Oryctolagus cuniculus: one gene and its partners. The protein of the gene in region 1 interacts with the protein of each later gene in a pairwise test. Links are inferred from orthologs where the notes say so. Each region holds a gene or a part of one and is shown in the gene's direction. Other genes may lie near its edges. The genes, in order: CBY2, C16H19orf44, CKS1B, METTL17, MMAB, LMO1 and KIFC3.

Region 1 (4,044 bases):
CAGAGAGCTGGACTGTAAGAGAAGCAACCGGGACAGAACTGGCGCCCCAACGGGGACTAGAACCCGGTGTGCCGGCGCCGCAGGTGGAGGACTAGCCAAGTGATCCACGGCGCCGGCCGCATGTTAGGTCTTAAAGCAAAGCTTTCTTGTAAATTTGGGTGTGGGGGACTCAAAAAGGTGGTTCTGGCTGGTGTCTCAGGATCTGCTGCCTCTGGTCCGTCATTCCCTTCTTACTGCACGTAGGGTTGGGGTGTGCCACTGGCTTACGGTACAAGAAAAGGCTCCCATGAACAGCCTCTAGTGGTGAATGATTTGCCCGAAGTGAGGCCAGGGCATGGGGCATTGTGGTCTTGATGCTGTTACCTCCGTGGTATAATAAGAAAATAAACTCTGCTTTTGTCCTTGATTCCTGGCACAGAGCTCCTAAAATCCTTGGCATTTCCTCTGTGTCTTTTGTTATTCATAATGAGCCCCTTTGGAACACACCTGAGTTTCAGCTAATGAGGCAACCCTTGAAGGCTGGGGGCTGCCGCCAGAAAAACTGACCATGTGATTAAAAAGAGGAAACTCTCATCACCACCCCCCAACCCCTACCTCTAGGAAGGGGGGAGGGGCTGGAGATTTAAACAACCACGCCTGTGTAATGAAACCTCAACAGTGGGGTTCAGAGAGTTTCCTGGTGGGAGGACACGTGGACGTGCTGGGAGAGTGGCTGCCCAGGGCTGGCACGGCCACTCCACACCACCCTCAATGCCCAATACCTTCCCTGTGCATCCCGTCTATTTGGTGTTCCTGAGTTGTGCCCCTTATAAGAAAATGGTCATCATAAGTAAAGTGTTTTCTTGAGTTCTGTGAGCCATTCTTGCAAATTATTGAAGCCAAAGAAGGGGTCATGGAACTCCTGGTTTATAGCTGATCAGTCAATGGTACAAGTGGCATCTGAGGTGAAGGCAGCTTGGTGGGACTGAGCACCTAACCTCTGGGATCTGGCACTCGCTCCAGGTCGATGGTTTCAGGGCGTCCACTGGTGACAGCCCTGGGGAATCAAGTGGTGCCACAAAGCTCCTGAGTCCCTCTTTCCTCCTTTGGTCTGGGAATTCAGTTGGTATTTCTTCTTGAGCAATACAACTACAAGTAGATAATGCCCCTTCTGGAGAGAGGACGGCCTGGCAGTGGGGATGACCAATCAGGGCCTGGTGTTTGGGGTATTGTGTGTCACACTGACCCTACTTAGCCACGTGGTCACAGATGCTGCAAAACTCTTCCTACCTGCCAGATGCTTCGTTCCCACCTGTGACGCTCAGAGAGAAACCATGAGCCCTGCAGAACACCATATTGTTTTGTGATGTCACCTCTGGAATGTTCTGAGTGTTTTGGTGACCAACTTCTGCACAGGACCTATACCTGGCACCTCACATTGGTATGGCTTTTTGCTTGGGAGGGAAACAGTAGTCTTACACAAGGATGTAGATATTAGCAATCAGTGCTTCAAAGACATCAGCTATAGTATCTGTATGAATTTGTTTAATAAAATATCAGAGATTGTCCACACACATTTGCAGATGCAGATTTTCATAATGTACCTAATTGACAAGAAGCAAATAAATGAGTAGAAAGTCCTATAATTGTCAGATGAGCAATGGAGGCCCAGAGGGTGGGTTGGGCAACAGAAATTTTCCTCTTTTCTCTTTTCTACAGCACTCGAGGCCAAATTTTACAAGAAAACGAGATACCAGATCTGAAAGCCTAGAAATCCCAATCAATGTGGTTCTGCCTCAGGTAGGATTAATCACAGAAGGATGAAATCTGCCCGTTTAAGGCAGAATAACACTCCTCTTCCAAAACTCCAGCCTGATGTGGAGTAAGCTGAAGAGTCAAGGCCTCCGATTCTAGTTGTGCATTTGACCACCCACCCATTCTGTGCCTGGGGGAGGAAACATGGCCTCTGTGGGCCTTGGGTTCCTCTTCTCTCATACGAGGAGTGTGAATTAGATGACCTGGCCACCCTAACATTTCAAGTTTCTATGCTAGACTGAAAACAAAAAAAAACAAAAAACAATCAAATATTCATCCTCAAAGGGAGATCTTTGGTGCTTGGTGATGTATTAGCACTCTGGATTTCTAGGGGGACAAGTAGACCTGGGGCTTGGGGTCAAATGCTTACGAATGAGTCCATGAGGAGAAAACCTAGCACATTGACTGGATGCTAAGGTATCATTTGGAGATGTCAATAGAATTAAGCCCTGCTGTGTACCAAAGAGAGAGCATAAAGGATACGTGCATGGTTTTGTTTGTTTTGCTTGTTTGTTTTTTTAGGACAATGTGTAGGTGCAGTTCTGACAGGCTGGATTTTTTTTTTTTTTTTTTTTTTTTTTTTTTTTTTTTTTTTTTTACAGGCAGAGTGGACAGTGAGAGAGACAGAGAGAAAGGTCTTCCTTTGCCGTTGGTTCACTCTCCAATGGCCGCCGTGGCTGGCGCGCTGTGGCCAGCGCACCGCGCTGATCCGATGGCAGGAGCCAGGTGCTTCTCCTGGTCTCCTGTGGGGTGCAGGGAGCCAAGCACTTGGGCCATCCTCCACTGCACTCCCGGGCCACAGCAGAGAGCTGGCCTGGAAGAGGGGCAACCGGGACAGAATCCAGCACCCCTACCAGGACTAGAACTTGGTGTGCCGGCGCCGCGAGGCGGAGGATTAGCCTAGTGAGCTGCGGCACCAGCCAACAGGCTGGAGATTCTAAGGTCTTCTCCTGCAAGTGGCTGTTTCCTTGGTGGGGTTCTCTTGATTGGATTGTTTCTACTGCTGTTATGTCACAAAGGGCATGGCCTTGCTTCTCCCAGAGTCACTCAAGGCCCCTTTGGAAGACCATGGGCATGCAGTCAGAGGGGTTGAAATGTAGAATGGAGAGATCCAATGCAGAGGTAACTATCTGACAGCTCTGTCCAGAGTCATGTAGGAGGGTGGGTCACCAGTGGGCATTCTATGTATGTGACTGAACAATCTAGGCATGTATGTTCAGCAGGAGGCACAAATAGAGGACAAGAAAATATTCTGGATGTTTGTTTTCACATTATCCTTAAAACTCTGCAAGTAACAGACACTTTCTATCTGTTTCAGCTCATGAGACTTAGCCAGAATATAGCATTGCTGATCATTTGACAGGATGATGATAAGCTACAGGAACCTTTCTAGGTCCAATTCTTTCTGTTGTATACAGGGAATTCCATTGGACACTATTCCTTTTGATGGTCGGTGTTGCTCCTTTGATTCTTCATAGCCTGTGTAATTCAATCTTTCCATTGTTAAAGGATGGGTAGAAGATGCCAATCCAGGGTGGGGTGGAGGTGACAGTGAGGGTGGGAATAGGATTTAAATAAGTGATGGTCACATGATAGAAAGATTGGAGAGATTCTTCTATCTATATCCAGCACAACTTCCCCTATCCACTCCCAGAAACATCCTAGCAATCAAGGAGGAGAAAAGGAGGCTTGAGACTATGTCCCTGGCTTGTCCTGGGGCCACCCACTTTCTGTGCTATAGGACCTGGTACAGCTGTTGGGCAGTTGGAAGACAGGGTGGGTGTACAGTGAGGAAAATGTTCAGCAATTATCTGGGCACATGTACCCCATGTGGACAGATGTGGCCTCAGGGGTACACATGACAAAGAAGCACAACCAGGAAGCAGGTTGAAGGCACCTTCCAGGATACTGTAGACTAGTCATCTGCAGGAAGGAAGTGGGCAAACCACCACTAGTGCTGTGAGAAAGATGATGTGTTTGCTAACTCTCCCAACATGAGATGGTGCACACAATTGGAGGTAAGCATTGGCAGAGGAGAAAAGAGGGGGAGAAGTGTTGACTGAATATTGATCTATTGATCATATCATGTTTTGAGCACAAAGACACGCAAATGTAAGATTTTCTAGGTATGGGAACCAGGAATTCCTAGAGCCCTTCAGGTAATAGTAGGGTTGGAGTCAGGATCTTGAACCAGGTCAATATCCATACTCACTTGGCTGCACCAGGTCACCTCTTAGCTCTATAAGTCTT
Region 2 (4,142 bases), on another chromosome or scaffold:
CTACGGTGAAGTGTGGACCACCCCGCGGTGCGGTGGGGGCGCTAGAACCTTCCATCTTGGTGCTCCTTAGCCAACATGCACCTGCTGCCTCCTTCCCCCTCCAACCCTACATCCAAGGGCCCACAGACGTTTTCTCCAAGGCCAGAGAGCGAACATATCTGCGACCTCCTGGGCCATTCGGTTCCTGTCTCAACCTCGCCCGTATTTCGTCGACTTTTCCATCATTTTTATGGGTTATAAACCACCACCCACCTTTCCTCTTCTCCCCCGCCTATACCAAAATGTCCCAAACCATTCCCAGCTCGTTGGCTGTGCACCAAGACGACAGATCAGCCCCAAGAAGCCAGGGTGGAGGCCGGTCCTTGGGATCACGCGTGTCAGGAATGGGGCGGGGGTGGGCCAGCGGTGCAGAGACCCTGATGGGGGGATGGGCCCCCTCAAAACCCTACAAGAGAACAAGGCCGTGTGCTGCGCCTGGGTGCCCTGGTCCTTGGATGACCGGTTCCTTCACTGGGTCTCCTCGATGCCTCCAACTCAAAAACAAACTTATTGAGGGGCGGCGTGGGGTGGGCATGGGGTCTAGGCGGTTGGGACCCAACTCTGGACCCCACTTCCTGCTAATGCAGACCCGGGGATGACCCAAGCAGTTGGGTCCCTTGCCACCGCACCACCCCCGTGGGAAGACTGTTTATTATTATTTTTTAAGCTCCTGCTTTCGGACCGCAGCTACTTGCAACAGGCAGCACACGGTGCTGGCCTCCCCGAGCCAAAGCCCCCCGGATGTGACCCCCCCAACCTACCTGGACACCGTCGCTACGAGGTGGCCCCCCACTCCCTGACGCTACACTAACCTTTGTCTTTTTCTTTATGACCATAAAACTTCCCCGACGAGAGTCTAAAATGCCCAAATTGGGAATTATTGGTGGACTGCACCCATCGGTTGCGCCAGCGTTCTGCAGAGGGGAAACAACACGGGTTACAGCAGGAACTCGTTCATCCGGGTCCCGGGGAAGAGTGCGGGACCGTCGGCCCTTCACCTCCGTCTAGAAATTCCTCCTGGAAGTAGACGGTGGCCAGCGCCACCCGCAGCGCGCAAATAGCCCAGAAGTGGACTCGAGCCCCGGCCATGGAAACGTGCGCGCCCACTCCCTGTAACCGCCCCCTCGCTCCCGGCGGTCTCTGCGGCTGGCCAGGCTCCGTTCCCGAAACTACAACTCCCGTCACAATTCGCGATTGTGACACCGAGGCCACCATTGGTCCCGGGCGCGCAAAGCACGCGGGGCCTGCCCTCAGAACTACTACTCCCATGATGCATCGCGATGGTCACCTGGAGCGTCATTGGTCAGCGGCGCGCGGCGTCCTTCGGGAAATGTAGTCCCTTCCACTCTGGCGCGGTTACCCGGGGCAACAGACCCTTGGGCCTCAGTCTGACCCGGGTGCTGCAGCCCCGGGGCCTCGGCGGATGGACAGCGAGGGAGGAGGTGAGCGGGAATGGTGGGGCGGCTGCAGGGCTGGCTCCCTAAGAGGGGCTGCGGGGGAATGCGGCGCCCCTCAGGGCTGGGCTGGTGTGGCGGCGCCTCACCTCAGGCTCCCGGTCAGGGGCTGGATGCGGTGCCGATGGCGCCAAGGCGGGAGAGACCGGCGTCTGTGGTTTACCAGGCTGGTGTCTGTTTTTTGGCAACTTTATGAGGGTGTGTTTTATCTGCTGGAGTGGTGCCCCCGTCCCCACACGCCAACTTTACAACTTTTTTTTTTTTTTTTTTTTTTTTAATTCCTCCTGAAATCGCCTGCGGTCCCGGTGCGCCCCGGCCCCCGGCCCGCTTTCGGAATCTCTAGGTTCGTTATTTAGGCACATTTGTTATTCAGGGACATTTCTTAAAAACGGAATCTGACGGTTACGGGGTAGGGGGCTTTGCGTCTGGCGCCTGCAGGTGCGTCAGGATTCTCCGTCTTTTTTTTTTTTTTTTTTTTATTTATTTATTCGTTTGAAAGGCAGAGTTATACAGAGAGAGGACTTCCATCCGCTGGTTCGCTCCCCAGATGGCCGCAATGGCCGGGCTGCAGCCAGGAGCCAGGAGCTTCCTCCGGGTCTCCCACGCAGGTGCAGGACTTGGGCCATGTTCCACTGCCTTCCCAGGCCGTAGCAGAGAGCTGGATCGGAAGTGGAGCAGCCGGGTCTCAGGCCACAATGCCCACCCCCCGTTATGATTCTGAAAAAGTCTGCGGGCCATCAGCCCACCTGAAACCACCAACCAAGGATGGACACAGACGCACAGGTGTTGATGGACACCCACCGGCAGGTGGAAGCCGGCCCCGCCCCCGCGGGCGCGCAGCTCCCTCCCCCAGCTCCTGATTGGCTGAGAAAGCTGGGGGGCGGTGCTCGGTGGGGGAGGGAGGGGGAATGGGTGGGTGCGGCTGGGCGGATCTAGGATCAGGGGGAGGGGAGTTTCGCTGTGATGTCATCAGGGCAATAGCTCTGTTTACGTATTACAAAATTTGTGAAAGTTACAAAATAACAAGTGGGGCGGGGTTTGCAAGGCAAGCTCAGCGGCTGGTCCACTTTGGGTCTCGAACCCTCAATTCTACTTGCTGCTAAGGCTAAGTCTTTTCCGAAAATACACCATGGAGCGTAGTAGGCTTGCGCCGGCATCCCCTGTGGATGTTGGTTCGAGTCTCGGCTGCTCCGCTTCCCATCCAGCTCCCTGCTGATGCGCCTGGGAGAGCAGCTAAGGGATGGCCCAAGTCCTTGGGCTCCTGCCACTCATGTGGGAGACCCGGATGGAGCTCCTGGCCCAGCTCCGGCCGTTGCCAGAGCTGTTGTTTGGGGAGCGAACCAGCAGATGGAAAACTCTGTGTCACTCCCTCTCTCTCTGTAGCTCTGCCTCTCAAATAAATAAATCTTAAATTAAAAAAAAAAAAAAAGATGAAAGGAAAATCCACCATGATCATTTCTCGCAAATCCCTCCTCTTTTTCTTTATACTACTTGGTGTTATTTCCATTTTATACTCTGGGATTAACGTGGTCTAATAGCTCTTGACTTTTTTTTTTTTTAATAAATTGTGTCCATTTGCTACAGCATTGTGTTAGGGACTCCTCTGGGAGCTCTTGGGAGAGCCTCCGTGATGGGTGGAGGAGCCCTGGTATAGGACGCCGGGCTGCAAGGGGTCACCAGTTGGACCAGGCACAAGTGCCTGTGCAACCCAATGGCAGCCGGTCCCGGAGCTTTCGTCCCTCCCAAATACCCCGAGACGGCAGCCCGTGGTAGGCTTAAAGCTGAATCCTTGCCGTTCAACTCCCCAGAGACACTCGGGATCCAGGCACGGGCTGGGAGTACTCGGGATCCGGGCACAGGCTGGGAGTACTCTTGTCGCCCCGCACAGCACAAAACCCTTTCCACCTGGGTCAGAGTCCCCTGCGAGAGGGAAGGGGACCACTCGTGCCCGTGGCCATCTGGCCCCACGTGTGTAACAGCTGCTTTTAGTAACAGCATGTATAGAAAATTGTACCCATTCAACCCAGGTGTTCAATCGCCTCGTGTCCCTGTCTGTATTTCTAGGGTTTGTCCTGATTCCGTAGTTTTTACTTGTTTTGGATCCACTGTAGAGATCGTCTGGTTTTATAACGTCACTGGTGGAGACTGAGGATAACTGAAGGGCTCAGGGCAGGAAACCTGTTTATCTGGCCTTGAATAGATGATGAGGAGCACAAGTAGTCTGCTACTTATTTATTTACTTGAAAGGCAGAGTTTCAGAAAGAGAGAAAGACTCAGAGAGAGGTCTTCCATCTGCTGGTTCACTCCCCAGATGGCCACAGTGGCCAGGGTTGGGCCAGGCAGGAGCCAGGAGCTCCATCCAGGTCTCCCACGCAGGTGCAGGGGCCCAAGGACTTGGCCCATCTTCTACTGCTTTCCCAGGCCATAGCAGAGAGCTGGATCGGAAGTGGAGCAGCCGGGACTCGAACCAGCGCCCATATGGGATGCTGGCACTGCAGGTGGCGGCTTTACCTGCTACAGCGCAGCACCGGCCTGGCTTCTAGGATCTTCACAGGGGTCCCCACCGGAGTCGTCTCTCTCTCTGCCTCTCCAACTCTGCCTTTCAAATAAATAAATAAATCTTTAAAAAAAAAAAAAAAAGATCCTGGA
Region 3 (4,066 bases), on another chromosome or scaffold:
TTTCCAGCAGGGAAGGCAGGACAAGTGGAGCCAGGAGGAATGCCCAGACAAGAATTTTGGCTGGGGGTGCGGGGGATGGAGCCAAACAAGTAGAGGCTGAGGAGTCCCTTAAAAGAAAAAAGAAAAAAAAACAGGATACAAATCCCTAACCCCATTGCAAACCACCGTTTTCTGGTAGTACAAAGTTCTCTCTCCTGTCACGTCCTCAAGCCACACATCAGCAAATCCACGGCCCTGTCTAGCCACAGCCTCAACCTACAGCTGTTTCTGCGGTGGGCTGGGAAACTATGAGCAAGCCTCTGTCCCGTCCTCGGGCCAAACCCCAAGCCCAGGCCCACCCTTGGGGGAGGATAAGGCTGCCTCTAATCTCACTCCTCAGAGCTCCCACCTAGTGGAGCGGGAAAGCCCTCGGGAAAACTGAGCCCAAGGCCCCAAGAGAGAAAGGACAGGAAACGTAAGCAGGTGGAGCTTCTGAGACTGAGGAAACTGGGGTGATGACTTGGGTGCCACCCGGATCGAGTTCCTTAGGGGGCGTGGCCCTCTAGGATGCGCAGCAGACTTCCAGGAGATGAGGCTCCGGGACAATCGGACGTGGATTGCGGAAGGGGCGGGGCTTCTATGGGCGGGGCCTATCGAGGGGCGTGGCCTCAGTGAATTCGAATCGTTCTTTCAAGAGCAGAGCTTTGCCCTTTTGGGAGATAGGATCTTTGACAGACAGGAGTTAGCGGAGAATCGTCGCGAGGAGGAGGCGGAGTTTGGAAGAACTGGGAGGACTAACGAAGCGTTTCTTGTGGAGCTGGAAGCATGTCTGGGGGTGGGACTTCCAGGAAAACTGGGCTACAGGGAGGGGTCGGAGACAATAAATTTAAAAACTGGGGTTCAGGGAGCCCCCTGAAGTTGGGAGGTGGGACTTCCGGAGAGGGGGTCTCAGGGGCGGGACTTAGCAGTGAAGACCGGAAGTGGGGTCCCGGGAGAGGGGTTCCGGGGTGGAGGAGTGGGTTGCCTAAAGAGAAAAAAAAAAGTGAAAACTCACCAGGGCCTCATGGGGTCTCCGCACCGCGCCGCGGGCCGATTTGGTTCCGGATCACGCCACTGCCTGCTTAGGTCGCCGCTCCAACTTTCTCCCCGGCCCGGCCTCCCTGGAGAAACTTTATTACACTCACTTCCGGCCTCACTAACCCCTGACCCTCTACCTCACGGTCCCTCCTTCGCCCCGCCTAGTTTCCTGAATCAGCCAATGGTAGCGCGAAGGCGCTCACAGGCGCCGCGATAACCAATTAGAGGCCTAGCTCTGACCCAAGTTTGTGCTTGAGAAACGTAAGAAGCGCACTCCAATAAAGACTGGAGGAGAAGCAAATCCTAAGCCAATAGGAGGCTCGAAGGTGGAGCTGTCCCGCCTTGAGCCCAAAGGACCAATGGGAAGTGCGGGCGGTGTGTTTGAAAGCGAGGCCAAAGAGGGTGGGAGCGCGTGCTGCTGGGAGTTGTTTGGAGGTTGGCAGCGCGGGGCTGACGGCCCGCAGGCAGAGCGATCATGTCGCACAAACAGATTTACTATTCGGACAAGTACGACGACGAGGAGTTCGAGTACCGGTTAGTGCCGGCGGGGGGCCGTAGCGAGGTCGGGAGAAGAGAAGGCACGAGGAGTTGGTAGCGAGGATGGAGGCGACAGAGGGGGCGCATGCGCAGGAGACCAGCGGGGGTGGGTGTGAGGTTGGTGGAACGCGGAAGGCGCGTGCGCGGGGGGTGGCCGGCGCCCTGGAACAGTGGAGTCTGGAGTCAGCCCCCGGTTGAGGGGAGGCGTGATGAGTCCGACCACCTTCACCCTGTGGGTTTCTGGGTCTTGGTCTCAGCTTCACTGGGAGCTGCTGTGGAGTCTACTGGGTGAAGGTGTCAGCAGCGGAGCTGGCCTTTTCCTCGCGTTCTCACTGCGAGCGGTGAGAATGCTGAGGAAGTTAATGCTGCTTATTCTTGGGGAAGGAAAGAGGCGTGGTTGTCTGGCTTGTTTTAGGACGGGGGCGTCGAGGACCGGGCCGGGGATTAAAGTGCCGAGAAGCACTGAGAACCAGTGGAGTGCGTGCAGGTTTCACTTGTTTACTGGATGTGAGCATCTCACGGTCTTTAAAATTCTGAGCAAGAATCTGGCAGACGGCTGGAAGAAGGTGGTGGGCCTGCGGAGCCCGGGCCGTGAGCGGGGCGTGGTGGGGACACACAGCCTGGCAAGGAAGGGGCGGGGGCTCCCTGGAAGAGCCCTCAGGTGACACTGTAGCAACGAAGGGAAAAGTACAGCTTGACCAGAATTGTCCCGGAGGTACTGGATGGCCAGATGCCCAAGATGGGGGAGCGTTTGGGTTTGATAAGTTCTGAGCCCATAGGAATATTAGATTGGAAAAGGAGGAAAGACAGAATTCTACAAGTGTTGTCGTCACACTAATCTGTATCAATTGCAATATTTAAGACGGCTTGCGGCTTTTATCTTGCCTCCTGGAATGGAGGGGGAAATGGAAGCTTGGTTTTCTCGTGCCTTCCCTCAGCCCGGTTCGGGCTGTGTTTACAGACACATAACCAGCTTCAGGCTGGGATCATCCTAGATCCTTCTCAGACTCCATTCCTTTTATTTCCCTCAGCTGTTTTCCTCTACATCCGAACTAAGCGAACTCCAACTGTATGCTTATGACGTGTTTGCAGGGCTGGGAGACATCACTAGTTTCGTCCCTGGGAAGATGTAACTGTTAGTTTGGCAGTGGCGTTTTGGTTTAAGAGAGGGGTTTGTTTTGTTTTGTTTTAATGTACTGAGGCCAGATTTTGTGCCAGGGGCTGGTTAGAATGTCAGCTATTTTCAGACATTTAGACTAGAATTATCTCTTTAGGAAAAAAACCTCTGATAATTAGTGCTGAGGGAGCATTTAGGACATTTTTGTTGCGTGTGATGAAGTGTATCTGAATGAGTCCAGTTCCAGTCAGAGGAGTCATTTCTTTGCCATGGAGACTCATCCTTGGTCAGAGAATCAAGTCTCATGGCATGCCCCTTCAGAGTTAGGAAAATGAGATTCAAGATTTTTGAAAGAAGACTAACAGTTCACCTCTGTGATGTGTCTTCCACACCCCACTTTATCGATGTTAACATTTCATGCTCTTTGTAGGGCCTGTTACATTGTGGGTAATTACTAGAAAACCCTAAGATCCACAAAGGCACAGAAAATGAACATCAACAGTGCCTGGCACTCAGTCACTGGAAGTACTCATTCGCACTCTTTAATATACCCTTGCGAGGAGCCTTGTTGTGGCATAACGGGTTAAGGCGCTACCTACAATGCCATACGGGCACCAGTTCAAGTTCTGGCTGCTCCACTTCCAATCCAGCTCCCTGCTAGTGTGTCTGGGAAAGCAGCAGAGGATGGTCCAAGTCCCTGGGCCCCCGTACCTACATGGGAGACCCAGATGAATTTCCTGGCTTCTGGCTTCAGCCTGGCCCAGCTCTGCCTGTTTTGGCCTTTTGGGGAATAAACCAGCAGACAGAAAATATCTAACTTTGCATTTCAAATAAATAAAATTTAAAACTATATATATAGTCTTGTGAGAATTTTTATAACTTGGCCTATATTTTCAGCTGCCTCTACCCCACAATAAGATTGTATAAACTCAAAGGCCGACACTGTGGCGTAGCGGGTAAAGCCACTGCCTGCAGTGCCAGCATCCCATATGAGTGCCGGTTTGAGGCCTGGCTGCTCCACTTCTGATCCAGCTCTCTGCTGTGACTTGGGAAAGCAGTGGAAGATGACCCAAGTCCTTGGGCTCCTGCATCCATGTGGGAGACCTGGAAGAAGCTCCTGGCTTCAAGATTGGCACAGCTCTGGCCATTGCGGCCATCTGGAGAGTGAACCAGTGGATAGAAGAACTCTCTCTCTCTCTCTCTGCCTCTGCCTCTCTGTAACTCTGCCTTTCAAATAAATAAATCTTTAAAAAAAAAAAAAAAAAAAAGATTGTATAAACTCCAGAAGCCAGTTTCTCTTTTTCCTTTCTTGGCTTTATATACAGGCACTTGTCCAACAGGCTGTATCCAGTACTA
Region 4 (4,158 bases), on another chromosome or scaffold:
TCACTAGACTTCTATCCCAGCAGAGTAAGGATGGACCTTTGCTACAGATATCAAGAGTTTACGGCACAGTAAGCTTTTTAGTGTTACATGCTAACACCTCCAAACACTTAGCATAAAGTTAACTAACTTGTGCCCCAACCACCAACAATATGGGGTATAGCATATTGTGTAAAAATGAAATCAGTGTTAAACTAGCTGTCACCTAACAAGATTTGTGATCTCAGGGGCCGGCACTATGGCACAGCGGGTTAAAGCCCTGGCCTGAAGCACCGGCATCCCATATGGGCCCCAGTTCTAGTACTGGTTGCTCCCCTTCCCATCCAGCTCTCTGCTATGCCCTGGGAAAGCCGTACAAGATGGCCCAAGTCCTTGGGCTCCTGAACGAACCCCTGTGGGAGACTCAGAAGAAGCTCCTGGATCCTGGCTTCAGATCGGGGCAGCTCTGACCGTTGCAGTCGTCTGGGGAATGAACCAGCGGATGGAAGACCTCCCTCTCAGCCTCTACCTCTCTCTGTAACTCTTTCAAATAAATAAAATAAATCTTTAAAAAAAATTGTGATCTTGCACATATTTAACCATTAGAAGTCTCACTTTCCTCAAGTGCAAAATGGGGCTGACAGCAGGATATGCCTTGGTAGGAACTAGATTACATAGAAGGATTTTCTTCCTTAATTTTGAAAATTTATTTTTAAACACAGAGAGAGAATCTCCTGTTGATTCACTCCTCAAATCCCAGCAACAGCAGGGGTGAAGCCAAGCCTAAGTCAGGGACTGGTCATTTAACCCGGGTCCCCTACGTGACAGGGACCCGAGGACTTGGGCCATCACCTGCTGCCTAGCAGGGTGTGCACCAGCAAGAAACTGGAATGCGGAACCCAGGAACTCTGATATGGGATGCTGACTTCCCAACAGACCCCAAGGAGAAGTTCCTAGCACATTACCTAGCATGTGGGCGTTCTCAGCAAGCGTTAGCGTTAGCTTATTGCTAACTGACGAGAAACTGACAACTAATTAAACTGTTAACTAAATTATTAATTTACTACCTTTAGTAGTTTAAATCTGGTTTCCTCACCTTTTCATTACTGCATTCTCCGGTTCACAGAGGAAAACAACTCCAGATTCAGTTCTACAGGGAGAAAAGCAACCAGATTTTGACAGCCGAAAGCCCGCCTCCGTCCCTCATGCCCCGCCCCCTCAATTTCGGGCTCTGCAGCACCCCCTTTCCGCCGATCAGGTCGGACCTGACTTCCAAGTCCCGCCCACGAACGGCTTCCGCCGCGAGTAGATTTACATATCGACTGCTTATTGGCTACTAATGAGCACTCCTTCTTCTCATTGGTTGATGCTGTCTCGAGCGAAATCCCGGAGGAAGTTCCGCGCGTCGTTGGGAGCTGAGGGTCACTTTCGTTTCTGTTTCCGGTTCGCCTGCGAAGGCATGGCGGCTGCGTCGGGAAAGAGGTTGCCCTCGATATTGGGCAGATGGCGCCGCGGGCTTCGAATGGCCCCCCAGTCCCGGGTGAGTACCTACTTTCTCTGCTCCCGAAGAAGCTCTGGGACCCTAGAGACAGCTGCGCTCCAAGAAGGAGCTGTTTGGCAGCCGCTTCCTTTAATTGAGAGCCCTCAGTCTTCCTTTGTGGCTGGCACCCAGCTTTCCTTTCTCGGCTTCCAGGCGCTGGCGGCCCTTGTTCGCGGCGTGAGTCAGGTAGATAACAAGTCCGATTTTCTGGGGAAGAAGCCTCACCGTCGGCACCCTGGCATCCTACGTCTGCCGTGCGTGCAACTGCCACAGGCACTGGCTGACGCCGCCCAGCTACTGCTACTCCGTAAGTAACGGCGGGAAAGGGGTATCCGAGGAGAAAAAGAAATGGGCCTTTGCACACAGGTAATTCTGCTTTTCATCTCTGGCCTCCAGAGAACGCAGTGCCCAATGTGGAGAAGCATGTGCAAGCACTGACCAATTATCTCTGGAGCCGACACTTGCCCGTAGAACCTGAGGAGCTACAAAGACGGGCTGTGAGTCTGGAGAAAAAGTTCCTGGAAAACGCAGGTAGGATTGAAGACTGATGAAAGATTAGGCCGGATTGAAACTGGGGAATGAAGTGCAAGAGATAATTTTACAGTCTCTCAAATAGATATTGGAGTTTCTTATTTGACTTTCCACCTTACTGGAAGATAGATTTGTTCCAGAGACTACCCTTGGGACGTGAGGAAGGGACAGAGTATGGCAATTGAAATCTGGATCCCAGTTGGGACCATCTACTTTTTTTTTTTTTTTTTTTTGACAGGCAGAGTGGATAGTGAGAAAGAGAGAGAGAAAGGTCTTCCTTTTGCCGTTGGTTCACCCTCCAACGGCCACTGTGGCCGGCGCACGGCGCTGATCCGAAGGCAGGAGCCAGGTGCTTCTCCTGGTCTCCCATGGGGTGCAGGGCCCAAGGACTTGGGCCATCCTCCACTGCACTCCTTGGCCACAGCAGAGAGCTGGCCTGGAAGAGGGGCAACCGGGACTAGAACCCGGTGTGCCGGCACCGCTAGGTGGAGGATTAGCCTATTGAGCCGCAGCGCTGGCCCATTCTTATTAAGGTGAAAGTCCCTGTAAAGTTAACTGCCTAATGCTGAAAACCTCTGGGATTGGAGAATACATGTAATATATTCACGGTTGTGAGCTCCTTCGTCTTACAGACCTTTTATTTATCTTGTGTCCCCTACACCCCCCACAATCTGGCTCTGAATGGGCATTTAGTACATACTTGCCAAACACAATAGAGTCCCTTTTCCACCTATAGGAACATTCAAGATGTCACAGTCTTAAGTTTTGGGGAAGTGAGGAAATCCACAAAATAATTGTCCTTCTCTTATCCTTTAAATCTAAATTGTATTTTCCTTTATTATAGAAAAAAATTTGTTGGGTAGGGTCAGTTAAGTTGAATATACTGCTGTTGGAGGCAAATACTATCTCATACACTCTAGGGGTGCTGGTGGTGATTATCCTTAGCTGAAATTTTTCTCTAGGTTTGGCTGCTTTCTTGAGCTTTGAGGCTTTTCCAGTGGGAGAGGGGAGAACCGGGAGGGCAGTGAATTAAATATTGGATCTGGTCTCTGTTCTCCTTAGGTCCTCACTTCCAGTCCTTGTTCTCACCGCAGACTCATCCCAGACAGAAGAAAAGCTTCGTGGAGCAGTGCTACATGCCCTGCGCAAAACCACCTACCATTGGCAAGAACTGAGGTGAGGGGGACTAGAAAACATGCAGAAGGAAGAAAAGTTGGACTTGAAAAGGAGAATGGAGCCGCACAATTGCATGATCAATGCAGTGTTTGAAAAAGTGCCTGAGTGATAGTGATCCCCAGGACCACTCTGCCCTGGGGAGTGAAAAGCTAAAGTGGAAGAGCCCTTTCCAAGATCTTATTTCCTCGCAATGGTCAGCAGGTGTGACTCTGATTTTTGTGCAGCTACAATGAAGGACTGAGCCTGGTGTATATGGCAGCGAGACTGGATGGTGGCTTCGCGGCAGTCTCCAGGGCATTCCATGAGGTGAAAAATCTGTGTCTAACTTGAACGCTCTTACCTGCTGTTCCCTTATTGATTCATAATGTAGTCTGTACGGTAGGGATTCTTAGGGTGCTGCGTAGGCTTTTATGCTTTGCTTTTTTTTTTTCTTTCTTTCTTAAAGTTCTCTTGTCCTGTAAAAGGATTCTGTGACCCAAGAAAGGTTCAGAACCACTATTTTAGGAGCTTGTTGTTAAGTGTTTATGTTGAATCTCAGAATGTGTTCACATCTTTCTTCCTCTGTCATAGTCCCCTAATTCATATTTACTAAGGCACTAAATAAGTATCTGCTTACCATACTGTGGGGTGTTGTGTGTTTCTCCAGATCCGAACTCGAATTCCAGAGTTTCAGCCACAAACCTTAATGGACTTTGGCTCGGGTACTGGCTCTGTCACCTGGTGAGTAACTTGCTTCATCCCTTTCTCAAGTCTAGTTCTAGAAGGCCACACTTAACACCAATCCAGTATCAAGAACTTGAAAAACCACAGGAAAAATAGGAAAGTTGAGAACCTAGAATGTTTCTTCTCTCCGATTAGGCGAGGCAGAAGAAGGTATATGGGTTAGGGCCAGGATTTAAAAGAAGTATCATAGTGAAAAAAGACCCATATCTGAA
Region 5 (4,025 bases), on another chromosome or scaffold:
TGAGACTCGCGCCAGGAACAAGGGCTGCCCGATCCCAGAAGGCACCGGGGCGAGGGGGGGTCGTCTACCTTGCCGTGGACCACGGCGTGTTCTCCGTGGAGGATCACTTTCCCCGGAGCAGACACCAGCAGGGCTTCCGACAGCATGGCTCCTGGCACTCCTGGAGGTGAAAACCAGGCGGCAGAGCCCGGATCCCCAGTGTCAGAACCAGCAGGGAGAGGACGAGAGAATGCCCGGGTGAAGCCCAGCATTAAAACCCAAAAGGCGGCTGCCCGCCAGCGCGTGCTCTGCGCCCGCGATACATCAGAGAGATCCGAGTTCAAATCCCAGACCCTCCACTCCTAGGGATGCTGCCTCCGCTCACGCACCTGAATCGGCCATGAACTCGGATTCCCCACCTGCCACCCGGGGACAGTACGTGCACCTGCTCCAGTGGGTCGCTAGGAAGGCTAAATGCACGCAAAGGAAACTCAGCAGCGCCCGGCACGTTGTAATCGCGTGATTCCGGCCAGCTACTCATCGCCGGCTGGCTCCTCTTGGTTTCAGCTTCTACTATTTCTACTGCTGAAGGTGGACTTTTAAATGAAGCCGAGCACCAGAAGGAACCCCGCGCTCCCCCCGACGCGGACGGTGTTGCCAACGCATCACAGCCAAAAGCAAGGCTGCAGAAAACACCTGTCAGTCCCCGTTCTGCAAGATGGGGTCCCAGAAGGCGGCAGCTCAGGCGCACTAGGAGCTCGGAGCTCCCGTGACCCCTGTCTCGTAGGCGCTCGCTCACCGCAGCTCGAGTCACACCTGTCAGATTCCGCCCCTCAGCGCGGGTTCTCGAGAGCTGAGGAAAACTCCAGCAGAGAACCTAGGCGCCAGGCCCCGGGTCGTTCCGGGTCCCAGAACCTCGCTCCACCCGGCCCCGCGACCGCGACCTCTCACCTGCAGCTACCGCGACCCCTCTGCATGGGACCTCAAGTGGCCCTGGCACTCCTCCATCCCGGAGTTCCGATGCTCCGGGGGGAAGGCGGCCGCGTCCTTCCGCTCAACCAATCAGGACGCGCGAGACGGGAATCCTTTTACTAATTGGCTTGAGCATTGGCCAATAAAGATTGCGGCTGAGCCGCCCTGGGTTCTCCCGCCCCACTCCTTCTGTAAACCAATGGGAAACAGATCGTTGGGAGTGTCCCGCCCTGGTGCGAGCGCCGCGAACCAATGGAAAATGGAGCTGAACGGTGGCGCGGCCGGCTGTAGGCGGGGTCCTCCCAGGGCCTGGACGGGAGCCTGACGGGTTCAGCCCCCGTCAGGTCGCCCGGAGCATGGCTGTGTGCAGCCTGGGAGGCCGCCTGGGCCTACGCGGGTGCCTTGGCACCGGCAGGCTACTGCGTCCCCGTTTCCAGAGCCGCGGCCCTCAGGGCGTGGAGGACGGGGACAGGTGAGTGGCTGGCCGGGAGGGTAGCTCCACACCGCACGTCGCCGTGGGTCCTCTCACCGCCGTGACGTCGCCGGTGTGTGCTGACGTCACCGTGGCCGGGGCCAGGCTTTCCTTGCCCCAGTCTGAACGAAGGCCAGCTGTCATTGATCAGGGCAGGGAGCCGGGACACGGCTACGCCAGCGCCATCTGCCATCTTAGGGCTGTCGTCATCCGCCTTGCACCATGCGCTCAGCCCAGACCTCAGACCCAGTGGGTGGACCTCTGATGGATTAGGGGTCGGATGGATTCACGCAGTTCGCACGCCCGCATCGCACATCAGAGCGCCTGGGTTGGGGTCTCGGCCCCGCTCCCAATTCCAGCTTCCTGCCCCAGCGCACTCTGGGCAGCGGGTGAAGAAGGCCCCGGTACTTGGGTCCCTGCCGCTGGATGGGGCTCCTGGCTCCTGGCGTCTGCCTGGCCCAGCCCTGGCTGCTGCGGGCGTTTGAAGGCGTGAACCAGCGAATTGGAGCTCGTGCGCGCGCTCTCTCTGCCTTCCAAATAAGATGAAAATAAATTATTTTTATGGATTGATCTATTTCTTTAAAAAAAGATTTATTTATTGTTTATTTGAGAGTGAGAGAGAGAGGGAGAAAGAGAGAGAGGTCTTCCAGCCACTGATTCACTCTCCAAATGGCCACAAAAGCCAGAGCTGGGCTGATTCAAAGCCAGGAGCCAGGAGCTTCTTTCTGGTCTCCCACGGGGGTGCAGGGGCCCAAGTATTTGCACCGCCTTCCATTGCCTTCCCCGGCCATAGCAGAGAGCTGGATCGGAAGTGGAGCAGCCAGGACTCAGACCAGCGCCCATATGGGATGCCAGCACTGCAGGTGGCGGTTTTACCAGCTACACCACAGCACTGGCCCCTGACATATTTCATAGATGCAATCATTAAACCTTTGACTAACCATGTAATGCCGCAGTTTAATTTGGAGTCACCTGCAAACAGGTGGCTGTTCGCAGAAGCCAGTTTTGAACCCTGCTTTGGCAGTTCTGCAAGTGTGTGTGCTCAAAGCCTCATAGGGTGGGAGTGGCTCTAGTTTCTGGGCCTGCACGAGGCCCTGACTTGTTAGGGTGGAGGTGAGACTTTGGGCCCTGGAGTCTTGGGCACAGATCCCCGGCCTACGCCTGCCTTCCTCCCGACCCAGGCAGGTGCGTCCCGTGCTGTGAGCTGCTGTGTCCTCTGCAGGGTGATGAAGGCAGTAGGTCGTGGAGAGAGCCCTGGAACAATTCCCGGATTGCAGGCCTGTGATTGCTCTGGGGAGTGGTCCGTCGGGGGGTGCTTGTTGAGCGGCCCCTCTGCAGGCATGGACGTGGGCAAGGCCCGAGTGGCCCACAAAGGGTTCGCAACTCGAAGGGATGGAGGGGAGAGATGCCGGCAGAGGGTGGCAGAGGCCGGGGAGGGAGCAGCCCCTCGGTGTAAGCCAGCCCCACTCACCTGTCCTCATGTCTGTTTCGTACTAGGCTAGAAGCTTCCCCGAAGACACCCAAGATCCCCAGGATTTACACCAAAACGGGAGACAAAGGTAGGGCGGGGACAGTGACAAGTGTAAGGAAAGCCACGTAGCAGAGCCCACCTAGATGTTCTTCCAGAAAAGCACGCAGAAGATCTCAACAGACACCACAGAGCCGGGGCGTGACGTGCAAACGGACGGCAGGGGCGGGCCTCTAGCTTAGTAGTTAGGACACCTGCCACACACACACACACACACACACACACACCCCGGCAGAGCACCTGGGCTTGATCCCCATCGCTGGCTCCTGCCTCCAGCTTCCTGCTGTGCAGACCCCGGGAGGCAGCAGGGATGGCCCAAGTGACTGGTGTCCAGCCAGCCACCTAGGACGTCTGGATGGAGCTCCTGGCTCCAGGCCTGACTGTCGCAAACATTGGGAGAATGAACCAGTGAATGGCAGCTCTCTCTCTGTGTCTGTCTGCCCATCAAGTGAAAAAACAAACTTCTTAAAAGTAGGTTACAAGGCTGGCGCCGTGGTTCACTAGGCTAATCCTCTGCCTGTGGCGCCAGCACTCCGGGTTCTAGTCCCAGTTGCTCCTCTTCCAGTCCAGCTCTCTGCTGTGGCCCAGGAAGGCAGTGCACCTGCTTGGGAGACCAGGAGAAACACCTGACTCCTGGCTCTGGATCGGCACAGCGCCGGCCGTACTGGCCATTTGGGGGGGTGAACCAACAGAAGGAAGACCTTTCTCTCTGTCTCTGTCTCTCACTAACTCTGCCTGTCAAAAAAAAAAAAAAAAGTAGGTTACAAAACAGTCCAAAGACTGAATCCATTTGGATAAAAAGCATGTATATGTGTCTAACACACACACACACACATACACATACATATATACATATTTGTTCAGTTATGTATATAATAATCTGGAAGATCACACCTTGGACTGGGGGAGAGATTGAGTTGAGTTTTGGGGGGAGGGGGTAAAGAGTAGAAGGGTTTTATTTATTCAACATACTTATCTTCCATTCTGTTTTTCATATGCATATATATTACTTTGATCATTTGAAAACATGATAGTGTATATAAGAAATAGAAATAATAGAATAGAAGAAATAAG
Region 6 (3,954 bases), on another chromosome or scaffold:
CAGCCACGGGCGACACCCCCACGCAGCCTTGAGACAGGAGGCCAGGCACTAGGCACAGGGTGGGGGAAGGGGGTGCCTGGGTGTCAAGCATTTGTGGTAATGGGAGTGGTGAGGACATTTAGTGGGGACGGTATTGGGAGGGGGATGGGATGGGGTTTTACAGCTGGGGAGTGGGGAAGGGCAAGGCTGAGCCAGTGTCCCGACAGGTGATGGGGGAACCCTGTGGCCCTCCCGATTCCACCCGGATCATTCTCGCGTGGTCTGCAGTCTCCCCAGAGGGTCTGAGCAGGCGGCCGGCAATGGCTGGGGCAGTAACGAAGAAAGAAAGGGGATCCCGTGGCGCGGGCCAGAATTGCCGCGGAGTCACAGCCGCACGGTCACAGCCACTCACATTCCTGTGCCGGGTCTCCAGGCCCCCAGGGACGCACCCAGCCCGCCGCGCTCCCACGCTCCTCCCGCGGCGCCCCCAGTCCCAGGCTTGGAGTCCACTCTCCCGCCGGCGCGGCCACAAGGCTGGCCGCTGCCCGTCCGGGGGCCCAGCTCGCCGCACGGCCCTCCCTCTGGCGTGCGGTCACACACGCACGCACACACAGCCCTCACACGCACACACTCTGGCTGTGCTTTTGTGTTTTGTCAGAATTAATGAGAAAAGTTCCCGTGCCCTGCGGGTAATTAGTGTCCTTGGAGTTAAATAAGCTAATGGCGGGCACCTCTGGCCCAAGCAATTATGTTTGTGTATTGAATAATTGATTCAAAGGGGGGAAGGGCCGCTAATCAGATCTGAGCATAATGAATTGATTTAATTAACAGGGGAATCTGAGGGGCCCTGGGAAATGCAGGCTTCACTCTGCTGAGGCGAGCGCGGCCGGTACGGAGAGAGAACGCGCGCCGCTCCGGCTCCGCTCCGCTCTGCTCCGGCTGAGGCTGCCGCTCCGGCTCCAGCCCGGCCCGCTCCGGCCCGGACAGCGGCTGCTCGCGCGGCCCCAGCGAGCCCGGCCGGGCAATTACGCCCGTGCGCCCGCCCCCGCGCCCGCCCGGAGCCGCGCCGCGCCCTCTCCCTCCTCCCGCGCTCCCTGCCCGCGGGGCTGCGCTCTGGGCGCCGCTCGGGCCGCCCCGGTCGGCGGCCGCGGCTCGCGGGGCGCGGAGCCCGCGAGGGGCCCGCAGGAGCAGCGCGGGCGGGCGGGCGGCGGCGGCTGGAGTGCGAGCCGCGCGCCCCTCGGCGTCCTGGGCCTGTGTCTAGCTGGAGTCGCCGGGCGACCATGGTGTTGGACCAGGAGGATGGTAGGTGCCTGGCGCGCGGTGCCATGCCGCGCGGCGCGTGGGGCATGGGGCGGGGGGGTGGGCGGGCGAGCTCTGTCCAGGCCATCCCGCTCAGCGGCAGCGGCCCCCGCGCCCGCCCCGGCTGCCTTGGGCCGCTTGGCCGCTTCCGGAAGCGCGGCGGCGGAGTGTGCGTTCGTGTGTGTCTGTGGAGGGTGCCGGGCGCAACCCCCGGGGTGGCTCCGCGGGACGGGTAAGTCTCATGGGCCAGCTGGAGCCCGCCGACCCCGCACGCTGTGGCCGAGAACTTTGCCGCTGGCTCTGACTGCCTCGCAGGCACCAGGAGCGCCTCTGCGACCCGCGCCGCGGGGACGCCGCAGTTCGAGCCAGTCCCAGGCCTCTGGGTGTCTGGTGGTCCCTCTGCCGCTCGCCGCTGGGGACGAGGGTGCAGTCTAAGCCCCGTGGTCTTGGGGCCCCTCAGGCCTGGGACTTCACAGCTGCGGGCCCCCAGCCAGGCACTTTGGGAGGGGCTGCCCTGGCTCGGGTAGAAGAGTGGGCCATAAAACTCCACCAAAACCAGGTTCAATCAGAGAGGCACGTTTGCCTCGGGCTGCTCAGTGGCCAGTCCCTGGTGGTCATTTTGTATCAGTAATCTTGTGTCTCTTCTCTTAAGGAGCTCCCCACCTCCAAACTAGTAAGCTTTGGGCTCACAAAGTCTTGGATCCACGCTGGGTCCATCTCACACCCTAGCCTCTGCTAGTCCCTTGGGAGCACCGGAAGCCCTGGTTATCCAGAGACGTCCCCAGGGTCTGGAGGATGCAGAGTTGTGGCAGAAGGACGGGAGACTGGGGAGAGACTCTGGCCACCTGGCCTTCCTTTCTGGCCCCTCTAGTCCCTGCCACCTCCCACAGTGACCAGCTGAACTACTTTGCCCAGGAGTGCCTGGATTTTAGCCCTTAAAGTCCTGCAAGGGAGGACACCCTCCGTCCCAGGGTACACCTGGACGGTTGGGCAGCCCACACCTGCACCTTTCCCAGGGCTGTTGTGTGGCTGCGGCTTGGCCTTCATCGAGGAGGAGGAGACGTGTGTTTTCTGGGGTGCAGATCTGGCGTAGGCCTCACCGGGGGCCTAAGAGTTGTGACCGCAGCCTTGGAGAAGGTCTGTCCGAGTTCTCCAGAAACCAGACAGAGAAAGCTTCCCCACTGTGCACCTCTGCACTCCCGCTGCTAGCAAGTGCTTGGGCACTGGCCGCTTTTAGGGGGCAGGGCAGCGTCTGAACTTGGCCTGCGGGCATCCTGGTTGCATTGCAGAGTCTGTACGGCCACTCTGTGCTGTCAGCTCTAGTACTCAAGAAAAGCAGTCCTTGTCACCTTGAATACCTCTCTCAGTATTACCTGTGAAGCCAACTTGTGACCCCGTCTTGTAGACAGTTGCACTGTGTCGGGAGCAGGGCCCTCAGGTGGAGGTACATCTGACAGCCTCCCCAGAAAGTTCTGGAATATCTGGTCTGCCTAGGCCCTCAGGCTCCGAGTCTCACCACCCCCCCCCCCGCCCCCAGTGCAGGAAGCCTTCCTGCCAGACACAAGGACAAACCGCAGTTCCCTGCACAGAAATGCATAAGACAACTAGTACCAGTGCTTTTCTCCTCACAGTAGTCAGGGTGCTGCTCACCTGCTGCCCCCCCCCCCCCCCGCACTGCTGTGCCCACAAGTTTTTTTCCCAGGGCATTCTGGAGCACTCTCGGCGTGCCAAAGTGTGAGCACACGCTCATCACCTGTGGAATGTGTTGGTGAAAACAGCCTCTCCCGGCCCCAGGGGGATCTCAGGATTCCACTCTGGAGTTACGGGCGTGTCCCCGGGTCTGGAGGCAGCTTGGATGGGGGTGAGCCCAGGGGTAGGAGTTACCTCTGGGCTGAGGAGGAGGAGGGATGGGATGAGTGAAGCTCCTGTCTGGCTCCGTCATCCCAGCAGGGCCCTTCCGGTGTCTGGAGACCCTCTGAGAGCTGGTGGGCAGCTCTGTAACCCAGTAGTGTAGGTCCCCCTTCAGGTCACAGGGGAGTGCCACCCTCCCACCTGGAGGTGCAGAGTCAGCCAGCCACCTGTGAGCACCAGTAGTCATCATAGCAGCTGCAGGCCCCTGCTGGCACGCCCACCCTGCTTCTGTGACACACTGCCTGCTACCCCAGGCCTCGGGCACAGGAGCCCCAACTCCCCAAAGGGATGCCAGCTGTGTGGCCGCTAATTGGGTAACCTTGGGGGCTGGCGTGAGCTGGAGCCAGCACAAAGACAGCCAAGCACCACACAAGGTGGGCATGGGGGGCAACTGGCCTTGGCTGAGTGAGGAGAAGCAGCCCTTGTGGAGTGAATGAGCCCTGGGAGCACGGAGGACAGCTGCCCCTTGCCTGCCTGTCCGGCCCCCAGCTCAGGCAGGGGCGCGGGGCTGGCACCACATGTGCCAGTGGCAGCCATGCCAGAGCCTCCCTCAGACCTCGAGGGCAGAGCTGTGGCGGCAGTGGCAGGGAGAGATCAAGCTTGCAGTCCTGAGGGACGGCGAGCCTGAGCAAAATGATATATTTAACATCAAATATACTCAAGGACTATTAGGATTAAGTATTCGAGATGAAGGGGAAAGCGAAACCCTCTGAGCTGCCGAGGAGGCATCTCATTAGAAGCAGCCGCTCGTCTCTCTTCTCGAAG
Region 7 (3,824 bases), on another chromosome or scaffold:
GCAGGCAGGGAGGTGCTCTGGGTAGGGAGGCTCCCCTGGAGTGGTGGCCGAGGGGCTTAGGGGCAGCAGATGCCACGTGAGCATGGCACAGCCCCCCCCCCCCGAGAGGCCTGGCTCACGGGGCCCTTTCCTTCTTTAGGGAACCCCCGAGAACCCTGGCATCAACCAGCGGGCACTGCAGCTGCTCTTCTCCGAGGTGCAGGAGAAGGCGTCCGACTGGGAGTACAACATCACCGTCAGCGCCGCCGAGATCTACAACGAGGTCCTCAGGTGCAGGCGCCAGCCCCACAGGCGGCTGTGGGCACCGCTGGGGACTGGACGAGAGGGACTGTGGAGGGGGGCTCTCCTTGTGGGCTGCAGGGGCAGTGGTGCACAGCAGACAGCAGCTGAGGCTCTGCCCACAGAGCTGCTCACTGTGGAGGCAGGAATGGCGCCATCTACAGGACTCTTGGGGAACAGCAGAGTGCAAGGGAGCAGCTGGAGGAGCAGGGATCTAGGTGGGGAGCTAGGAGAGGCCTCACCTGGGAGGAAGGAGTAACCGCCCTCCCCCGGCCCCGCCCCTCCAGGGACCTGCTGGGGAAGGAGCCTCAGGAGAAGCTGGAGATCCGGCTGTGCCCAGATGGCAGTGGGCAGCTGTATGTGCCAGGACTGACCGAGTTCCGGGTGCAGAGTGTGGACGACATCAACAAGGTGTGTGGCTGGGGGGCTCTGGGGGAAATGCTGGGGAGACCCTGGGCCCACGCAGAGCTGCTGTGGACCAGGACGAAGCCAGGTTCCACGGCAGCTTCTGCCCTGCCCTGTGTGACTCGGGCCTGCCCCTGTCTGCTCTGAGCCTGTTTGCTCCTCTCCGGTGTGGAAGGGCGGGCGTCTGCGGCAGTGATGTCCACGTGCCATAGCAGTTTCCAGGCCCGATTGCTCTGCTTCCCCTCCACTTCCCTGGTAATGTGGCTCCTGAGAGCAGCAGGCGATGGCTCAAGTACTTGGGTCCTTAGTTCGCCCCTGGGAGACCTGCGTTGAGTTCCAGGCTCCTGGCTTTGGCCTGGCCCTGCCCTGGCTGTTGTGGGCATTGAGGGACCGATGTCCCTCAGCTGGGAGATGTCTGCGAGGGGCGTTGGGGCCAGGGCGATTCCGAAGACCTGTTCTGAACCCTGCGCCCCAGGTGTTTGAGTTCGGCCACACCAACCGCACGACGGAGTTCACCAACCTGAATGAGCACAGCTCCCGCTCGCACGCCCTGCTCATCGTGACGGTGCGGGGCACGGACTGCAGCACGGGCCTGCGCACCACGGGTGAGCGCTGGACCCTGGGCAGCCTGGGCGGAGGCCCCCCCGCGGCAGGCAGCCCTGACCTGGCTGGCACCCTCCCTGCAGGGAAGCTGAACCTGGTGGACCTGGCTGGCTCAGAGCGCGTGGGCAAGTCGGGAGCCGAGGGCAGCCGCCTGCGGGAGGCGCAGCACATCAACAAGTCGCTGTCGGCGCTGGGGGACGTCATTGCCGCCCTGCGCTCGCGCCAGGGCCACGTGCCCTTCCGCAACTCCAAGCTCACCTACCTGCTGCAGGACTCGCTCAGCGGCGACAGCAAGACCCTCATGGTGGTGCAGGTGGGCGCTCGTCATGGGCTGGCACCAAGACGCGTTCCGGGGCCCCCCCCCCCCCCCCCCGAGCACCACGCTCCTGAGTCAGTGATGTGTGTGCCTCGCACACCCTCCTCCCTCCCCTCCTCGGAATCACTGTCCCTCTGGTGCTACGGGGGTGGCTGGCTGGCCTGGGTGGGCTGACCACTCTGTTCCCCAGGTGTCCCCTGTGGAGAAAAACACCAGCGAGACGCTCTACTCGCTCAAGTTTGCCGAGCGGGTACGCTCTGTGGAGCTGGGCCCTGGGGCTCGGCGCACAGAGCTGGGGTCCTGGTCCAGCCAGGAGCATCTGGAGGTAAGGGAACCACCCCAGGCCCATCTCGGGCTGGCCCGGGGCAGGAGGGGCGTGAGCAGCAGGAAGGGGCTTAGGGGACCGACTGGGCCTATGGGTGAAGGGGGTGGAGCTAGAACGAACCCAGATGCCGCAGCTCTTTAGTCCAGATCTGTCATGGTCAGGGAGGCCTGCAGGCCTGGCACACGGAGTACCAGCGTCTCACTTAACGAGAGCCCGTCTCAGGGAGCATAAGAGTTAATACGCCCATTCACAGATGAGGAAACTGAGGTTTGGGGAGGGAGGCCCAGCCATTGTCCTCCTCCATTCACAGTGGGAGCCAGCTTGCCAGGCACCGCAGCCCTCAGCACGTGCCCACTCAGCCCCCGGCTCAGGGACCACGAGCCGTGCGGGCTCCATCCGAAGGAAGCTGCAGCCCTCGGGTAAGCCCCCAACCCTACCCCCTCCATCATCACAGCCCCCAGGTGCCCTACCTGGGTGGGCTTTTCTAGTCTCTGAACCTCTGTCACCCTGTCCCCTGCCCTGCAGCGTCGGGCACACAGCGCTGGGTCCACTTTACAAAAGGAGGGAGGGGCCGGTGTGAGGAGCAGCCCAGCCCTCCTGCTGCCTAACTGGGGCTGGCCGGGCTCAGGGAGCAGGCCAGGGACCCCTACCCTGGGCACAGAGAGGGCGGAGCCCACCTGTGTCCTGGAGAGGCGAGCCCCGGCACAGGTGCCAGTACCCACTGGAGGGCCGGCAAAGGGCTAGGGTTGGCAGGACCCCGTGGGGGCCTGGCCTGAGGCACGCCCCCAGTGAGACGCCTGTCGCTTTGATTTCAGCCTGAAGGCTGGGCTGCAGAGTCTCCAGGTGAGTGTGGGGCCAGCGGCCCAGCGCTGCACACCCGCCTGCCTGGGTGGCGGGGCTGGCTCTGTCCCCGCTGCCTGCTGTCTGTGTGCTTCTGCGGGCTCCCTCCTGCTCTCGCAGCACCGCTGTGGGCACCCCTGCCCGCTGCTGGCCCGCAGCTGACCTCCCCGCCTCCCCTCCCGCAGGGAAGTCGAGGCCCTTGCCTGTGTGATGGATGGACAGCCGGCCGTGCTCGCCGGCTCGCAGGAGACAGGGACGTCCCGGCCCCTCGCAGAGCAAGAAGCAGCGGCTCGGGCTCACCAGTGGCGCGGACGGCGTGAGCTGCAAGGGTGGGCTGGCCAGCTGCCCCCAGGCCCGCGGGGTCTCCCAGAAGGCACCGAGGGGCTCCAGCCACGTGTACATAGCATTCCCGGGGCGCGGGGCCTCAGCTGCTCCCCCCGGCGCCTGGCAGCAGGCACTCCAGCGTTCCCACCTCTCCCCCTCTGAAGTCCTATTTAAGAACTTTTGGAAGCGTAGCCATTTTTACTTCTTAAAATAAAAGCCTTTTTTTACACGAGTGTGGTCTGAAAGAGCTGGGCTGGCCAGCCCTCGGTCCAGCCGCAGGGGGTGTGGCCTGCTCACCCCCTCTGCCCAGGGTTCACAGGGGCCAGCCCCGCCCCTGGCTGCTGCAGCCATCCCACGGGTGTCTCCTCCACGCAATAGGTGGGAAACTGCAGGGTGCGGCTGGGGCTCCGCTCTCCCCCACTCCCCCTGCACCAGCCTGTGCTGAGTCCCAGCCCTGGGAACTTGTGCAGCGGGGAAGGGCAGTACAGAGCCGCCCTCAGCGGATGGGGCGACGGCGCTGGCCGTGGGCACCCCCTCACCTGGTGCGCAGCCATGGCGGGGTGGACCTGACTTAGCCCTTTGCTGCTGTGCCCTGCTGGTCAGACAGCCTGCAGCACCAGGGCTGGCAGTCCTGGGAGAGCCTGGGGGCCAGACAGTGCCCCTCCCCACGAGGAGAGCAGGCAAGAGTTACAAATTTAATAAAATTCACCTTATAAATTACAGTAGCAGCCC

The links.
Region 2: the proteins of CBY2 (region 1) and C16H19orf44 interact in binary tests that used the Homo sapiens proteins (3 or more experiments, as listed by UniProt). The two-hybrid records come from large-scale screens. The link is inferred for Oryctolagus cuniculus from reciprocal best matches to the Homo sapiens genes CBY2 and C19orf44.
Region 3: the proteins of CBY2 (region 1) and CKS1B interact in binary tests that used the Homo sapiens proteins (3 or more experiments, as listed by UniProt). The two-hybrid records come from large-scale screens. The link is inferred for Oryctolagus cuniculus from reciprocal best matches to the Homo sapiens genes CBY2 and CKS1B.
Region 4: the proteins of CBY2 (region 1) and METTL17 interact in binary tests that used the Homo sapiens proteins (3 or more experiments, as listed by UniProt). The link is inferred for Oryctolagus cuniculus from reciprocal best matches to the Homo sapiens genes CBY2 and METTL17.
Region 5: the proteins of CBY2 (region 1) and MMAB interact in binary tests that used the Homo sapiens proteins (3 or more experiments, as listed by UniProt). The two-hybrid records come from large-scale screens. The link is inferred for Oryctolagus cuniculus from reciprocal best matches to the Homo sapiens genes CBY2 and MMAB.
Region 6: the proteins of CBY2 (region 1) and LMO1 interact in binary tests that used the Homo sapiens proteins (3 or more experiments, as listed by UniProt). The two-hybrid records come from large-scale screens. The link is inferred for Oryctolagus cuniculus from reciprocal best matches to the Homo sapiens genes CBY2 and LMO1.
Region 7: the proteins of CBY2 (region 1) and KIFC3 interact in binary tests that used the Homo sapiens proteins (3 or more experiments, as listed by UniProt). The two-hybrid records come from large-scale screens. The link is inferred for Oryctolagus cuniculus from reciprocal best matches to the Homo sapiens genes CBY2 and KIFC3.

Annotation. Positions count from the first base shown.
Region 1 is NC_091440.1:64,764,359-64,768,402, forward strand, and holds the start of CBY2 (protein chibby homolog 2), read left to right. Parts: upstream 1-1,244; 5' UTR 1,245-1,345; coding exon 1,346-1,420; intron 1,421-1,698; coding exon 1,699-1,779; intron 1,780-2,787; exon of another isoform or gene 2,788-2,802; coding exon of another isoform or gene 2,803-2,916; intron 2,917-4,044.
Region 2 is NC_091447.1:64,879,808-64,883,949, forward strand, and holds the start of C16H19orf44 (uncharacterized protein C19orf44 homolog), read left to right. Parts: upstream 1-1,342; 5' UTR 1,343-1,481; intron 1,482-4,142. Other genes in the region: CALR3 (calreticulin-3), read right to left, coding at 852-953, 1,038-1,128.
Region 3 is NC_091438.1:43,534,876-43,538,941, reverse strand, and holds the start of CKS1B (cyclin-dependent kinases regulatory subunit 1), read left to right. Parts: upstream 1-1,266; 5' UTR 1,267-1,531; coding exon 1,532-1,590; intron 1,591-4,066.
Region 4 is NC_091443.1:53,913,165-53,917,322, reverse strand, and holds the start of METTL17 (ribosome assembly protein METTL17, mitochondrial), read left to right. Parts: upstream 1-1,358; 5' UTR 1,359-1,435; coding exon 1,436-1,516; intron 1,517-1,669; coding exon 1,670-1,823; intron 1,824-1,912; coding exon 1,913-2,047; intron 2,048-3,141; coding exon 3,142-3,223; intron 3,224-3,447; coding exon 3,448-3,529; intron 3,530-3,869; coding exon 3,870-3,943; intron 3,944-4,158. UniProt on the Homo sapiens protein: Mitochondrial ribosome (mitoribosome) assembly factor. Binds at the interface of the head and body domains of the mitochondrial small ribosomal subunit (mt-SSU), occluding the mRNA channel and preventing compaction of the head domain towards the body.
Region 5 is NC_091452.1:18,547,983-18,552,007, reverse strand, and holds the start of MMAB (corrinoid adenosyltransferase MMAB), read left to right. Parts: upstream 1-1,225; 5' UTR 1,226-1,307; coding exon 1,308-1,423; intron 1,424-2,920; coding exon 2,921-2,982; intron 2,983-4,025. Other genes in the region: MVK (mevalonate kinase), read right to left, coding at 1-160, 931-956. UniProt on the Homo sapiens protein: Converts cob(I)alamin to adenosylcobalamin (adenosylcob(III)alamin), a coenzyme for methylmalonyl-CoA mutase, therefore participates in the final step of the vitamin B12 conversion.
Region 6 is NC_091432.1:57,917,141-57,921,094, forward strand, and holds the start of LMO1 (rhombotin-1), read left to right. Parts: upstream 1-1,154; 5' UTR 1,155-1,259; coding exon of another isoform or gene 1,260-1,281; intron 1,282-1,389; exon of another isoform or gene 1,390-1,510; intron 1,511-3,954. UniProt on the Homo sapiens protein: May be involved in gene regulation within neural lineage cells potentially by direct DNA binding or by binding to other transcription factors.
Region 7 is NC_091449.1:41,227,184-41,231,007, reverse strand, and holds the end of KIFC3 (kinesin-like protein KIFC3), read left to right. Parts: intron 1-139; coding exon 140-270; intron 271-566; coding exon 567-690; intron 691-1,159; coding exon 1,160-1,289; intron 1,290-1,370; coding exon 1,371-1,600; intron 1,601-1,793; coding exon 1,794-1,928; intron 1,929-2,238; coding exon 2,239-2,347; intron 2,348-2,743; coding exon of another isoform or gene 2,744-2,748; exon of another isoform or gene 2,749-2,771; intron 2,772-2,953; coding exon 2,954-2,979; 3' UTR 2,980-3,324; downstream 3,325-3,824. UniProt on the Homo sapiens protein: Minus-end microtubule-dependent motor protein. Involved in apically targeted transport. Required for zonula adherens maintenance.